Linked DNA regions of Xenopus tropicalis. The protein of the gene in region 2 purifies or fractionates together with the protein of the main gene of each other region. This does not show direct contact. Links are inferred from orthologs where the notes say so. Each region holds a gene or a part of one and is shown on either strand. Other genes may lie near its edges.

Region 1 (7,622 bases), on a different chromosome or scaffold from region 2:
GAACCACAGTGAGAGCCATTATCCACAAATGGCAAAAACATGGAACAGTGGTGAACCTTCCCAGGAGTGGCCGGCCGACCAAAATTACCCCAAGAGCACAGAGACAACTCATCCGAGAGGCCACAAAAGACCCCAGGACAACATCTAAAGAACTGCAGGCCTCACTTGCCTCAATTAAGGTCAGTGTTCACGACTCCACCATAAGAAAGAGTCTGGGCAAAAACGGCCTGCATGGCAGATTTCCAAGGTGTAAACCACTTTTAAGCAAAAAGAACATTATGGCTCGTCTCAATTTTGCTAAAAAACATTTCAATGATTGCCAAGACTTTTGGGAAAATACCTTGTGGACCGACGAGACAAAAGTTGAACTTTTTGGAAGGTGCGTGTCCTGTTACATCTGGCGTAAAAGTAACACAGCATTTCAGAAAAAGAACATCATACCAACAGTAAAATATGGTGGTGGTAGTGTGATGGTCTGGGGTTGTTTTGCTGCTTCAGGACCTGGAAGGCTTGCTGTGATAGATGGAACCATGAATTCTACTGTCTACCAAAAAATCCTGAAGGAGAATGTCCGGCCATCTGTTCGTCAACTCAAGCTGAAGCGATCTTGGGTGCTGCAGCAGGACAATGACCCAAAACACACCAGCAAATCCACCTCTGAATGGCTGAAGAAAAACAAAATGAAGACTTTGGAGTGGCCTAGTCAAAGTCCTGACCTGAATCCTATTGAGATGTTGTGGCATGACCTTAAAAAGGCGGTTCATGCTAGAAAACCCTCAAATAAAGCTGAATTACAACAATTCTGCAAAGATGAGTGGGCCAAAATTCCTCCAGAGCGCTGGAAAAGACTCGTTGCAAGTTATTGCAAACGCTTGATTGCAGTTATTGCTGCTAAGGGTGGCCCAACCAGTTATTAGGTTCAGGGGGCAATTACTTTTTCACACAGGGCCATGTAGGTTTGGATTTTTTTTCTCCCTAAATAATAAAAACCCTCATTTAAAAACTGCATTTTGTGTTTACTTGTGTTATCTTTGACTAACAGTTAAATGTGTTTGATGATCAGAAACATTTTGTGTGACAAACATGCAAAAGAATAAGAAATCAGGAAGGGGGCAAATAGTTTTTCACACCACTGTATAACCTGTGCAAGGAAGTTGTATTTTATCAAATAAGAAATTGAAACAGAAGCACTATCCTACAGTTATTTCCCAAACATGCATAGTACAAATAAATACAACATTTGTTATCAGCATAGGAAATGATCTGATCAGTTCACTATAAACTGCAAACACTACATACTAATAAATAATCAGTTCATACAGGGCCTCCAAAAAAGTTGAGTTTTTTTTAATAATAATGAAGGTACTGTAGGTAAGCCAACCTACCTAGGGTAGATTCTATTATGAAAGACTGCATAGGTAAGGCATCACCTTTAATTTAGCATTTTTGCAATGCCTAGAGAAAAGATTATAATCATATGAAACCTGTTCATAGAAGAACAACTAAGAAAGGGGTGGCATATTAGCAGCATTCATATATATGTATCAATGCAATTAACAGACAGCAGGAAGAAAACTAAAATAGGTGGCTCTAATGCTATGATTCAGGAAAGGGATGGCAAAATTGTTACACCATTATTTCTGGAGTCCACTATGGCTTTTATTGTTCTGTCTAACCAAACCCCAACTCTTAGAAATGTGGAAGAATTCAAAACCTGCAAAAAGTGTTAGGATATTGACCAAGTTCAAAAGCAAATCTTACATGTGGTATATTCCTAGTGCAAAATGTGAAAATATATATATCATAATGTCCCTCTGTAAATTGTACCAGCCGGTGACAGACTTCTGAAATGGAAGGTAGAGTTGGTCCTGTGTCTGAAGGCAGTGCTGCTTGCACCTAGCACTAAGATATGTATAAAAGGGGTGGAAAATGGCCATCCCCTTATATTACTCTAATTTTACATTATTTATGGCAGTATGTATTTTATATATAGACATCTGAGTTTCCATGTCTAGGAAACCAGCTTTAGAGGGGCCATCCACAGTTTACTATGTAGATTCACCCCCCCCCCCTTTTTTGTCTTTCTTGCTTGATATCGACCAGGCAGGATCACTCAAGAGCTCCATATATGGGCCAATGAACAATTAAGTGTATTAATGATAACGTTATCTATTGTATTGAATGCCTGTGTGGCCTTCAGTAAATAGGGAAAAGGAATAGGTAGTTATTAGAATGAAAAAACTAACATACAGAAATATTAGTAAAGGTTTATAAACTAGAGTTTCCAAATCTCGAACTCAAATATCTAAATAGGGATTCAATATTGGAAAATGATTAATGTTAAAATAGGGGGCTGTGAGATATTATAAGAATAACCAGGGCTGCCATTGCTATGTGGGGAAAGTTACGCAAATTGCCTAACGTACATATAAAGTTATGGCAAAACTAAATCAATTTACGTAACTTAAACCTGCCTAGAAACTTGTGTAACTTGCATAAAAACTTGCGTACAAGCAAAAGACAATGCAGAGAAGGGAAAACTCCAGTAACCACCAATGAATGGTAAATTCTACCTCCCCCAATGAACTGACTTATTAGCACATTAATTATTCATTTTAACCATTTATATGAACTGCTTATTATAGAGTAATATCTCTGTTTTTATTTGGGATCTATTTACTGAATTCTATGAGTATTCTTTACATTAACTTTTCAGCAGTGGAATGACTGGTTATTGGGCCCCACAGCAACATCATTGGCCCCCTACGCTTATGCAAGTTACTTTGAGAAAACTTACATTTAAACTGCACTGACCCCTAATGAAAAGATTCACTTATTAGCACATTATTATTTTTACTGCTTTAAAAAAGTAAAGTAAGTAGTTTTCTCCAGAAAAGGTGGAAACCCTAACCCCTTTGCATCACCCACGTCCCCATACATATCTCTCCTTACATCCTAATTATGCTTATGTGTTTTCCTTTTTGTTTCCTCTTGTTGTTTGGGTACAAAATCCTGTATATAAGAACCAACATTGCTTCTTTGTAATCAGCTTTGGTGAAGGAACTCTTTGCTGAGATTATCATCTTAGGCAGCCAATACCCACAACACATCTACGCCACTTTTGTTATGCTTCATGTCAGAAGTTTCACACTACAACTTTTTCAACTGGCTAACATAGTGCAGAACACTGGATTGGAACCAAGAGCACTAAGCACAGTTTTTACGCAAAGTCAACCGACCTATCAATTCATTCCAATGTCCGAGCTGTAGCGTAACAGCAGGGTGGAGCTTTAAACTATTAGTGACACAGTAATTTACATCTATTTCCTCCGCCATGGTAACCATTTGCCCAATAAAAGCAGCTTCCGCTTCCAACGTAGACGCATTCGTGTTCCGCCTGTCAGTGACTGAAACCATCAACCAATTAAAAAGCTTTAGACGCTATTAGCCACACCCTTCTTCTTCCTGTTCCAATCAGACTGAGCGAGGAGGCGCGGCTAAAGTTTTGATTGGCAGATGAATTAGCCAACGCGCGCTTTGCTCCACGTCAGCAGGATAGAGAAAGATGGATGCTATACTGTTGGTGAGTGAGGCCGCGGAAATAGCTTTGATTTTAGTGTGAGGGGGCCGGTAAAACTTTATTTTTCTATGGTGGTTGCAATCGTTTGTTTAGCTGGCCAGGCTGCTGTGTAGGGACAGGGGACGAGTGGTTAGGGTCTGTCAGTGGCAGGCTTTGGGCTGTGACTCCCAGCATACGTTCAAACGCTAGGGTAGCTATTCATTTTGGGACCTGTAGGAGATATCGTGCAGCAAAGTAGTTACTTTTTGTCATTCAGGGATGTTGCACCTGAGCCTTACGCCATGGTGAGCCTGTGCCAGGGACCCCCTATTGAATGGCAGGACTGGGCAAGGGCTGCTGGCACAGAAATAATAAAAAATATCTGGTAGTGACATTTTCTGAATATAGTGTGCCAAACTCTATAGTGCTATACCCCTTCTGATATTCCTTGTGTGGGTGTGTGTTTCCTTCCTAATCTGCCTGATTTTTATGTAGAAATAGTAGTAGTAGTAATAGTAAATAGTAGTAGTAATAGTAGTAGTAGTAATAGTAGTAATAGTAAATAGTAGTAGTAGTAATAGTAGTAGTAGTAGATGATTGATTGGGCTTTTAAGGAAAAAGAAAGGTGTCTGGGCTATTCTGAAATCTCTTTGGGTTAGACTGGACAGGCCTGGCGCTTATGCATGTCAGATTGTTGCTATTAGTCTATTTGCAGTTTAACAACAGCAGTTGGGCTATGGCTGATGGTAGAAGAAATATAGAACAGTTTTAACACAATACAATATCTGTATCAGGCATTTAAACTCTTAACAATTTTTTTTTGCAGGATTTTGTTTCCCATGGGGTATTGCATATCCCAGATATAGTTTTATAGAATCTCTCTTTACAGGTTGTGATTAAAGGGTATTGTATTGGGTAAAAACAAGAAAGTTCTAGTGCATTATGCACCTCAAAATCTAGAATAAATGTGCTGAGAAGTTTTTGGCCGATTTATTGAAAATGTATCCAAAACCCTACTAGTCCTACCCATTTTTTCCACTTCCCACTGCCTTCTTTCCCAGACCTGATAGGGAACTGAAATCGTCATTTGCGTGTGTGATTGGCTATGCCCCTCCTACTGTGCTTCTGGCAGGGACCATTAGGACATACCCCCCCCCCCCCCACCACCACTTGAAACATGGACAGGCAGATCCATAGGAAGCTTTAATAAAAAGGCCATTTTGTAAAGCTAATGATTATTTTTATCTCAGAGTGAAACCTGAAACCAGCACCATATATTTCATTTATGCTATATGTCTACTTTAAACTTAGTGTTTGCCGTGTTTATCTACTTTTGAGTGACTGTTCCCCCAAATATTGACGCATGGCATGTAAGTTTCTTGAAAGAAATTCATTAGGAAGCTTTAATAAAAAGGCCATTTTTAAAGCTAATGATTATTTTTAGCCCAGAGTGAAACCAGCACCATATATTTCATTTATGATATATGTCTACTTTAAACTTAGTCTTTGCTGTGTTTATCTACTTTTGAATGACTGTTCCCCCAAATATTGACACATGGCATGTTAGTTTCTTGAAAGAGAATCATTGTATAAAGAGGTTGTTTGGGAATTGAGAAGAACAGGTAACATCTGCTAGCAGAGTCAATGACACCTTGATAGGGACTAACTCAGTAAAGAATTCATACATGCCTGAATCTATGCTCTGTTTTTATTACTATTCCATGTTTCTTCCTTTTATATATTCCCTTTAACAAGAATATCATACATTGCTGTCTTTGAACAGTAGCATAAATTATATTCTCAGTCAGCACCCTAGGCATAAACTGAACAGAACAACTAAAAACCAAATAGTTTAATACTGACAGTATCAGTTACCACTCACAAATTGGAAAGTGAACGTGTCCATCAACCACAAATAAAAGGTAGAACCAGAACAGGCATTAAGTGCTAACGCTTTCCAAACTCCAGGTATAGCACAGTAAATTGGCTCCTTTGTGTTTGGACAAACATGCAAATAATGACTTTCCTATGGTAAGTGGTAAACCATTAATTGAATTCAGGGTCATCGGTGTTTCCCAAGGGGCATCCTCGTCTGGTGGTTGAACTATAAGATGACTGAAAAGCAGGGACAACGTGCTAAATATAGTTTGTTATTGAAATATAAAATGGAATATATTGCATTTATCTAACTAAAAGCATCATGCGCATTTCTAATACAGAGAGGTAGTTTAACAGGTTTCCCCAGAAGAACAGTAGATAGTGGGTATCCAACCCCAGCTCTGATTCACACAGGGAACATTATTTGCAGTTCCCTCTCAGGTCTGTCTAGCTGCTGATTGAATGGCATCCTACAATGCAAGTGCTGAGTGCCACATAATCTCCTTCTCAACCTGGGAAAGCAGCAGCTCAATTCGGTGAATGGTGCTAGCAAGTTTTTTACATTTACGTAACTTTTTCAGCAACACCAAAGGAAACTTAAAGGTACATACATGTATTTAGAAGTGTATAATGCAATGAAAAAATGCTTCTTCTTGACACCATTTGTCCCCTTTAAGTATAATGTGAGAGGTCTGCTGGATTTCAAGCCTTTCCCAAAAAATATTGTCTACCTGGATTTAGAATTTTCAGTGTCAATTTTAACCTGGAGGATAAGCCCCAGCAAGGATTTTCCTTCTGTTACTTTTATTACAATTGAATAATCAGAGTGAATTACTAATTGATTGCTGTGGGTTACTAAGCCAAAGAAAACTTTCCTTGTAAATATTGCTTAGATCTGATCCGTTCTCAGTTATGGCACTTTTGTCACAGTGACAGTCAAACTGTGCCCCTCCTGGTGCAGTTAAACTTCTAGATATTAAGGGTATAAGGATACTGGAAGTTCAAAAGGATTTCTGTTATCTATTTTCCCTTGATATGGTCCTAGAACACTTAAATAATTTTTTATGTTTTTTGTTGGAGGGTGTTGATATTTATTTCCTGTATTAATGTATTCCTTATTAATGTGTTGGGAATCACAAACATTCTTGGGTTGGTAGGGCAATGCTGTACAGTTGAATCAGCTACAAGAAGTGCAATGCAGCATATAGAATGCATGTATCTTGGTACATGGATGGCAGAGAGGTGGAACTACATGCGAATGAGGAACAGCGTTTGAGGTGAAGTTCTGTTATACACTCCGGCTGTGAGTAAGTGGAAGTCAGTGCATCACAGAACTTTGTCTCGAGGGCTTCACTACTCCATTAAAGTGAGCTCTCTCTAGGCTAATGGACTGGCTGACAAGTGGAGCATGAAAGGTCCAAAAAGTCTCACTATACCCCACATCCTTCCTGTGGTTATTCTGTCAAATGTGGTCTTATCTCTTCCATTCCACTTTTCTCTCTTTTGTCACAAACTGTGCATTATACAAGGATAGCCTTGTGTGCAAGTACAAGATCAGCTCTGTGCCCAGAGTAATTCATTTACAAATCAGGCATTCCTCCCGGTATGAAGAACGTTCATTGTGCCTTAGGATATCAGATTGATGTCAACTAGAAATCTGGCAGCCTGAAGGGGATTTTATCTTTAGCTAGATCTACTTATTGGGGAAATATAATAAGTGGTGTTAGTGGATGGGTCATAATATATAGTGGATGAAGGGTATTGCCTCTGTTTTTTGCATTTATATGGGAAACCCATGTCACGAGAACAACCATACCAGTATTATATTCCTCTGTTTATTCTGTGACACCACAGTTTCTTTTGTAGGTGTCTGTATGATATCACAGTTATACATATAGTATGTAAGGGAGTTGCCATGTTGCTTGAAAAGGCTGTAAGTATATGCAGACATTTACTTTATTATTACTGTCCTTAACATTAAAAAAATAGTCTTTCCATATCACACAAACTGGCTTCTTCTATAAATATTTCCTCCCAGCCATCACACATTTCTCTCTTTATTTTCCTGGGCACGACAGATTGCTTTCCTCCTTTGTTGCAAGGTTAGAGTGATTATTGTGTTTCTCTTGGCAGGATCCTTCCTTGTACACAGTGAAAGCTGTTTTAATTTTGGACAATGATGGGG
Region 2 (7,126 bases):
TGGAATTCAAACTATACGGTTGCTAAGGGAATTGACCCAAACATCCAGCAGTGATTTGAAATGCAAACTGGGAGATGGACTATATCTGCTTTCTGGTTGCTGGGGGTCACTGACTCAATTTCAGGGCAAGGTTTGATTGGAGAAACGCCAGCTGACAGGTATGACTAAGATTTTCAGGTGGATCTTAGCGGTACACAAACATAATGGCACAATGAGCATCGGTGGAAACGAAGTAATGGAGGGCCCCCGGCCTGGATCTGAAGATGGCTGCAGGCCTCCGCTGGCAAGTGATGCAGAGGCATGAGTGGAAAATGTCTGGAACTGCACAGACCCAGAGGGCAGGGAAGGACACTTTGGATGGACCAGTGTGCTAACTTGATGGTGGGGTGGTGGGTTAATGGGGGTGCTGAGGGTTAGATCCTGCATGCATGCACGTGGGGGAGAATTACAGGGAAATGGGTTCAAGTCATAATGGAGAGGCCAGAGGTGCATAGTGGTTAGCTTGCAGGCATTGAGCTTTCTGGCACAGGAACTATGGTGTGTTCTGGTAATGCTGAAAAAAACACTAGAATTCTTCATGGATTATGTAAAAGTGAGTGCAGGAATGGCCAAACCAGGGGCTCCGGTCATGCAAACTGCAATATATGGGCAAACGATCCACTTTCCTGGGAGATATTTGCACAAAATACCTTGAGTGTTGCTTTATTGTTTGGATATGGGTAAGTGTGGGGGATCAGTGCACCCACAAACTGTATGAGTAGTGCTATACAGACTGGAGATCACACCCAGGACTGGAGCAAATGGAAACAGCAGCAGGGATTTAACTGAAGGAGCATTTTATGTTCCGCTTGTAAATAATCCCTGTAGTACCAGAGCCGCTGTGCCAATGCCAGTGTGTGACATATAGCCGCTCTGGTTACCCCCGAGCCGCTGTGTCAATGCCAGTGTGTGACATATTGCTAGTTACCCCCAAGCTGCTGTGCCAATGCCAGTGTGTGACATATTGCTAGTTACCCCCAAGCTGCTGTGCCAATGCCAGTGTGTGACATATTGCTAGTTACCCCCGAGCCGCTGTGCCAATGCCAGTGTGTGACATATAGCCGCTCTGGTTACCCCCGAGCCGCTGTGCCAATGCCAGTGTGTGACATATAGCCACTCTGGTTACCCCCGAGCCGCTGTGCCAATGCCAGTGTGTGACATAAAGCCGCTCTGGTTACCCCCGAGCCGCTGTGCCAATGCCAGTGTGTGACATAAAGCCGCTCTGGTTACCCCCGAGCCGCTGTGCCAATGCCAGTGTGTGGACATAAAGCCGCTCTGGTTACCCCCGAGCCGCTGTGCCAATGCCAGTGTGTGGACATAAAGCCGCTCTGGTTACCCCCGAGCCGCTGTGCCAATGCCAGTATGTGGACATAAAGACGCTCTGGTTACCCCCGAGCCGCTGTGCCAATGCCAGTGTGTGACATAGAGCTGCTATGGTTACCCCCGAGCTGCTGTGCCAATGCCAGTGTGTGACATATAGCCGCACTGGTTACCCCCGAGCCGCTGAATGCAGGCCCAGGAAATATCCCCAATACGACCATTCTGGTTGGGTATTTTAGAAAAGGATGCCCTCTGTATGTGATAAACCCTGGCCCTATACTGTGCTTAAGGAAACAATATGGCAGCTCCTAAATATGAATGTGCAGACAGGGGGATGTACAGCTGACAGTGTGAGAGGGCAGTTAGTCACGTAAGACAGTGGTTATCATTACAGCCGTGACACGGAGGCTGGATACATGAGATACACACACAGTTAGTTCTGCAGTCAGTTCTTACCATCCCATGATAGGGAACATTACTGCCGACATGCACACTGGAAAGGGTTAAACGGGTTTACCCAGCATGCACCCCACGGCAGTTAGACATAAACATTAGCATTTCATCCACAGAGGAAGAGACGGCAGCAAAGGTTCCTCTGGGCAGAGGATGAAGAGGGAGGCAGAGCCTTCTCACCTCCAGCCCAGGATTTCTAACAACTGGTCTTATCTGCCGTGTACTTATGTAATACTGCGGCCTGTCCCACCCACAACTGCAGGAGGGAAGCCATGGAGCAGGGGGGCAGCCTGGGCCCATTTACTAACCATATTCTAAACCTACAAATTAATTGGTCTTCATTTTTTACCAGTTTTTAAATGGGGGTCACTGACCACGGAAGCCAAAGAACTGTTTGCTCTGTGAGGCTCAGATTTTATTCAGGCTGCTCCTATTCATATGGCTCACTCACGCAACTGCTTGGTTGCTTGTAATTTGGACCCTAGCAACCACATAGCTGCTATAATTCCACACTGGAGAGCTGATGAACAAAAAGCTTCATAATTCGAAAACCACACGTAATAAAATAATGAAGACCAATTGCAAAGTGTCTCAGAACAGCACTCTGTACCCTTTAAGAGCGCCATGTTGCATCCAATTACCCATTTGAAGTCCTGGCAGGGGAGGAGAGACTAAAACAATGATGTTACAAATTGTAACAACTTCTCCACAGCTTACAGGAACTACATAACCCACAATGCATTGCACTGCGATGTTCCTTTCACGTGTGCAGCAGGGAATTGTGGGATTGGGAGGATGCAGGCTGAGGACAGGCGACTAATGTTACAAAGTAGTCAGCCAGATCAGCAAGAGAACAGGGGGCGGGGCTTAGGGAACTGTTTCAAACCATATCATTCCATTAAAAATCATGTAAAGGCTGCATATTTTTCAATTGATGATATTGCAAAGTTGCTTGAAACTATGTTGTGTTTGGGTGGAGTTCCCCTTTAACGGAGAACCACCATTGGGCCTTTAGCCTAATCCTATAGATTCCGAAGCAAACTAATCCAGGGGAAGACAAACAAAACCTAATCAGTGTGTGTGATATCTATTACTAGAAGTGCTGACATTACTACTTGTGATAAACGCGTCATGTGATAGATACTGGGCCGGACCACTGGTGGGGGAAACCATTTGTGGGTGAATTTCGGTGCCCTATGTATTGTTCAATGTGCTGCAACTCCCTGAAACTTGCATCTGACCCCCTACACCACTTCCCCTGCTCCAACGCTTCTCTCCCCGTGCAGTTGGGAATGGACAGGTACCACATGGACCCCCTCAACCTGGGCAGCTCACCAGAAATATCCCAAACGCGCACAGTCTGATCCAAGCTGGCAGATACCACCAGGTCTTCAGAGGGGTGGAACTGAGCACACATGACGTAATGGTTGTGACCCGTCAGAACGCTGCAATAGAAGGAGAAGGTTGTTACGGTGACACTAAGGGCAAGGATCCACCCAGCCAGCCAATCAGAGCCTCTGATGGACAGGAAACAAGCTCATTTTTACCAAACGCAAGTGCGAGATTGCCAGTTCCAGATGCGGATGGTCTGATCATCAGAGGCACTCAGGATCCAGGGGTACTCCTAATAACGACAGAACATGGCTTAGTGTTACCCCAGTATAACTCCTCCCCTTCCCGTCAATTTAAATACCAGTGACCTTTTCGATTGTCACTAAAGCCAATGGGAAGTGACGTCACAACAGAGCTGCTGTATGAGACTGTACATTAGCTGTGTGCTCATTGGCTAATGGAGAGGCTTGGGCCTAGGTGGCATACTTACATGATGGAAAAAGGTGGTGCGGATATAATCGAGATGTCCCAGCAGGGTGAAGAGGCAGCGCCGGAGCTTGTAATTCCACACCTTAACGAGACACAGTCGATAGTTACACCCCCCATCGAATTCTAGTGGTACGTTCCTGACGCCCACTAACATGTATCCCTCCTTACCTTGATTTTGTAGTCGTCCCCTCCTGATACGAACAATGGCTGCTGCTTGTGGAAGTCAATGCCACGGACGGGACCTAGGGGACAAGACCAACTGCCATTTAAAGGAGAAGGAAAGGCGTTTTGAAATTTTACTGCCAATACATTAGCCACAATAGGGCAAGCAGAAAGCTTTAATGTATTCTAGAAGCTCCTTCTGTTTGTTTAAGATAGCAGCTACCATTTTAGCTTGGTCTCAGTAGCTGCAGATCTGGCTGCTGGTAGCTTAGATTACAGAGTTGGGAGGAGGAGCGTATTCTGATGGGAGGAGCGGCGTATTCTGGTGGGAGGGGGAGCAGGAGAAGGGAGAGGGAGCAGGAGAAGGGAGAGGGAGCAGACTCCTGCCTATGCCCTGAGAGAGAACACGTGTACACAAAAAGAGACAAGAAATCCTGTGTTTCTTTTGATAGAGGACTCAGTGCAGCATTTCTGTGAGTGCTTACGGCATTATTTACATAGACCTTTCTGATAAAGCTTAGTTTTCACCTTTCCTTCTGCTTTAATGCATGCAAGGCTGTATAACAAGGGCCGTACATAGCGCCAATCGGCAACTCACCGTCGTGCTCATCAAACTTGTCGATAAGGGTGCACATGCGGTAGTCCCACAGCTGGATGACCCCATTGTGCAGGCTGGTGAGGACCCACGGTCTCTTCGGGTGGAAGCTCAGCCCTACGGCACAAAGCAAAGACAGAGTCATGCAATGCAGTCACCATATACTCGATACTCATGAGGGAATCCTGTGCCATTGTAAGGTACAAGTTGCCCTTTGCTGATCCGGAAGAAAGGGGCAAGGATGAGAGGGGGTTGGGTTGCTACTACTGCTTATTGGTTGCTTTTAGTGTTCATGATATTAGCCTCTGCACACAGCTATTATCAAACATTTGCAGAGCGCCCCCTGCTGTTCTATCTGCCCAGTCAAAGCTAAAATGACTGATACAGAAAGCGTCTCCTAATGCTCCTCTGCTCAGCCCTGTCACAAACACAGCAGGCTCCTGTACAGGCTTGGGATTGCTCATCCCCAAACCCATTATCAAGAAAGCTCCCAATTACAGAAAATCCATCTCCCATAGACTCCATGTCAATTGAACAAATCAAATATTTAAAAATGATTTCCTTTTTCCTCTTTGCAATTGGTCTTCATTTTTTATTATTTGTAGTTTTTTAATTATTCCAGTTTTTGTTCTGCAGCTCTCTCAGCAACTATTTGGTTGCTAGGATCCAAATTACATTAGCAACAAGGCAGTGGTTTGAATGAAAGAATGATATATAAATAGGAGAGAACCAGAATAAAAAAATAAGTAATATAAAGTAACAATAGTTTTTCTGGCTGCCGGGGTCGGTGACCCCCATTTATAAGCTGCAAAGAGTTAGAAGAAGAAGGAAAATAATTCAAAAACTATGAAAAACAATTAATGAAGACTAACTGAAAAGATGCTTAGATTTGGCCTTTCTATAACATACTCAAAGTGTACTTAAAGGAGTACAACCCCTTTAATAGCCTGAGACAATTTGCAACTGGTCTTTAGTTATTTTCCAGCAGTTCTCCAGTTTGGAATTTCAGTAGGTATCGGTTGCTAGGGTCCAAATTACTCTAGCAACCAGGCAGTAGTTTGAATGAGAGACTGGAAAATGAACAGGAGAGGAACTGACTAGAAAGTAATAAAAAGTAACAATAACAGTAAAATTGTAGCCTCACAGATCAAATGTTTTCGGTTGCCGGGGTCAGTGACCCCCATTTGAAAGAAAAAAATAAAATAATTCAAAATCCATAAGAAATAAAAAAAATGAAGACCAATTAAAAAGTTGCTAAGAACAAGCCATTCTATAATATACTAAGGGTTATAGGGCCCCAATAGGCACCAAACGCATTAGGCTTTTTCTTGTTCTAAATAAATGTACTTTTAACTTCACCTTTATCATTATTTTTTTTTTAGTTGGGGGGGGGGGCACAATTATTACATTACACAGCCACACTGTTTTATGGGTATCTTCTCCCCTTTTATAACTATACCCCATATTTAAGTATAATTCCTTTGAGCAAATGACTAACGGCAACGCTGCAAGGCACTGTAGGAACTGGAGACCAAGTTGTTTCAAGAGTTGCTACATTGTTTCAGGAGTCAGAACCAGCAGAGGAGAAAGGGATAATGTTATTCATAGCAACAAATAAAGGGGGTGCAATCAGTGTGTATACAGTTAATAAGAGGGGGTACAGCTATTGGGGTAACAGATAAGGGGGTGCAATCAGTGTGTATACAGTTAATAAGAAGGGGTACAGCTATTGGGGTAACAGATAAGGGGGTGCAATCAGTGAGTATACAGTTAATAAGAGGGGGTACAGTTACTGGGGTAACATAAGGGGGTGCAATCAGTGTGTATTCAGTTAATAAGAGGGGGTACACCTACTGGGGTAACAAATAAGGGGGTGCAATCAGTGTGTATACAGTTAATAAGAGGTGGTACAGCTATTGGGGTAACATAAGGGGTGCAATCAGTGTGTATACAGTTAATAGGAGGGGGTACAGCTATTGGGGTAACAGATAAGGGGGTGCAATCAGTGTGTATACAGTTAATAAGAGGGGGTACAGCTATTGGGGTAACAGATAAGGGGTGCAATCAGTGTGTATACAGTTAATAAGAGGGGGTACAGCTATTGGGGTAACAGATAAGGGGGTGCAATCAGTGTGTATACAGTTAATAAGAGGGGGTACAGCTACTGGGGTAACAGATAAGGGGGTGCAATCAGTGTGTATACAGTTAATAAGAAGGGGTACAGCTATTGGGGTAACAGATAAGGGGGTGCAATCAGTGTGTATACAGTTAATAAGAGGGGGTACACCTACTGGGGTAACAAATAAGGGGGTGCAATCAGTGTGTATACAGTTAATAAGAGGTGGTACAGCTATTGGGGTAACATAAGGGGTGCAATCAGTGTGTATACAGTTAATAGGAGGGGGTACAGCTATTGGGGTAACAGATAAGGGGGTGCAATCAGTGTGTATACAGTTAATAAGAGGGGGTACAGCTATTGGGGTAACAGATAAGGGGGTGCAATCAGTGTGTATACAGTTAATAAGAGGGGGTACAGCTATTGGGGTAACAGATAAGGGGGTGCAATCAGTGTGTATACAGTTAATAAGAGGGGGTACAGTTACTGGGGTAACAGATAAGGGGGTGCAATCAGTGTGTATACAGTTAATAAGAAGGGGTACAGCTATTGGGGTAACAGATAAGGGGGTGCAATCAGTGTGTATACAGTTAATAAGAGGGGGTACAGCTACTGGGGTA

Evidence for each region. The genes of interacting proteins can lie anywhere in the genome.
Region 1: the proteins of copa (region 2) and copz1 fractionate together in Homo sapiens (co-fractionation; 6 studies listed by BioGRID and IntAct, with this or other methods). This does not show direct contact. The link is inferred for Xenopus tropicalis from reciprocal best matches to the Homo sapiens genes COPA and COPZ1.

Annotation. Positions count from the first base shown.
Region 1 is NC_030678.2:145,582,740-145,590,361, reverse strand, and holds the start of copz1 (coatomer subunit zeta-1), read left to right. Parts: upstream 1-3,477; 5' UTR 3,478-3,565; coding exon 3,566-3,583; intron 3,584-6,696; exon of another isoform or gene 6,697-7,352; coding exon of another isoform or gene 7,353-7,370; intron 7,371-7,570; coding exon 7,571-7,622. UniProt on the Homo sapiens protein: The coatomer is a cytosolic protein complex that binds to dilysine motifs and reversibly associates with Golgi non-clathrin-coated vesicles, which further mediate biosynthetic protein transport from the ER, via the Golgi up to the trans Golgi network.
Region 2 is NC_030684.2:137,301,450-137,308,575, reverse strand, and holds part of copa (coatomer subunit alpha), read right to left. Parts: intron 4,508-7,126; coding exon 4,394-4,507; intron 3,876-4,393; coding exon 3,802-3,875; intron 3,716-3,801; coding exon 3,635-3,715; intron 3,437-3,634; coding exon 3,360-3,436; intron 3,258-3,359; coding exon 3,148-3,257; intron 1-3,147. UniProt on the Homo sapiens protein: The coatomer is a cytosolic protein complex that binds to dilysine motifs and reversibly associates with Golgi non-clathrin-coated vesicles, which further mediate biosynthetic protein transport from the ER, via the Golgi up to the trans Golgi network.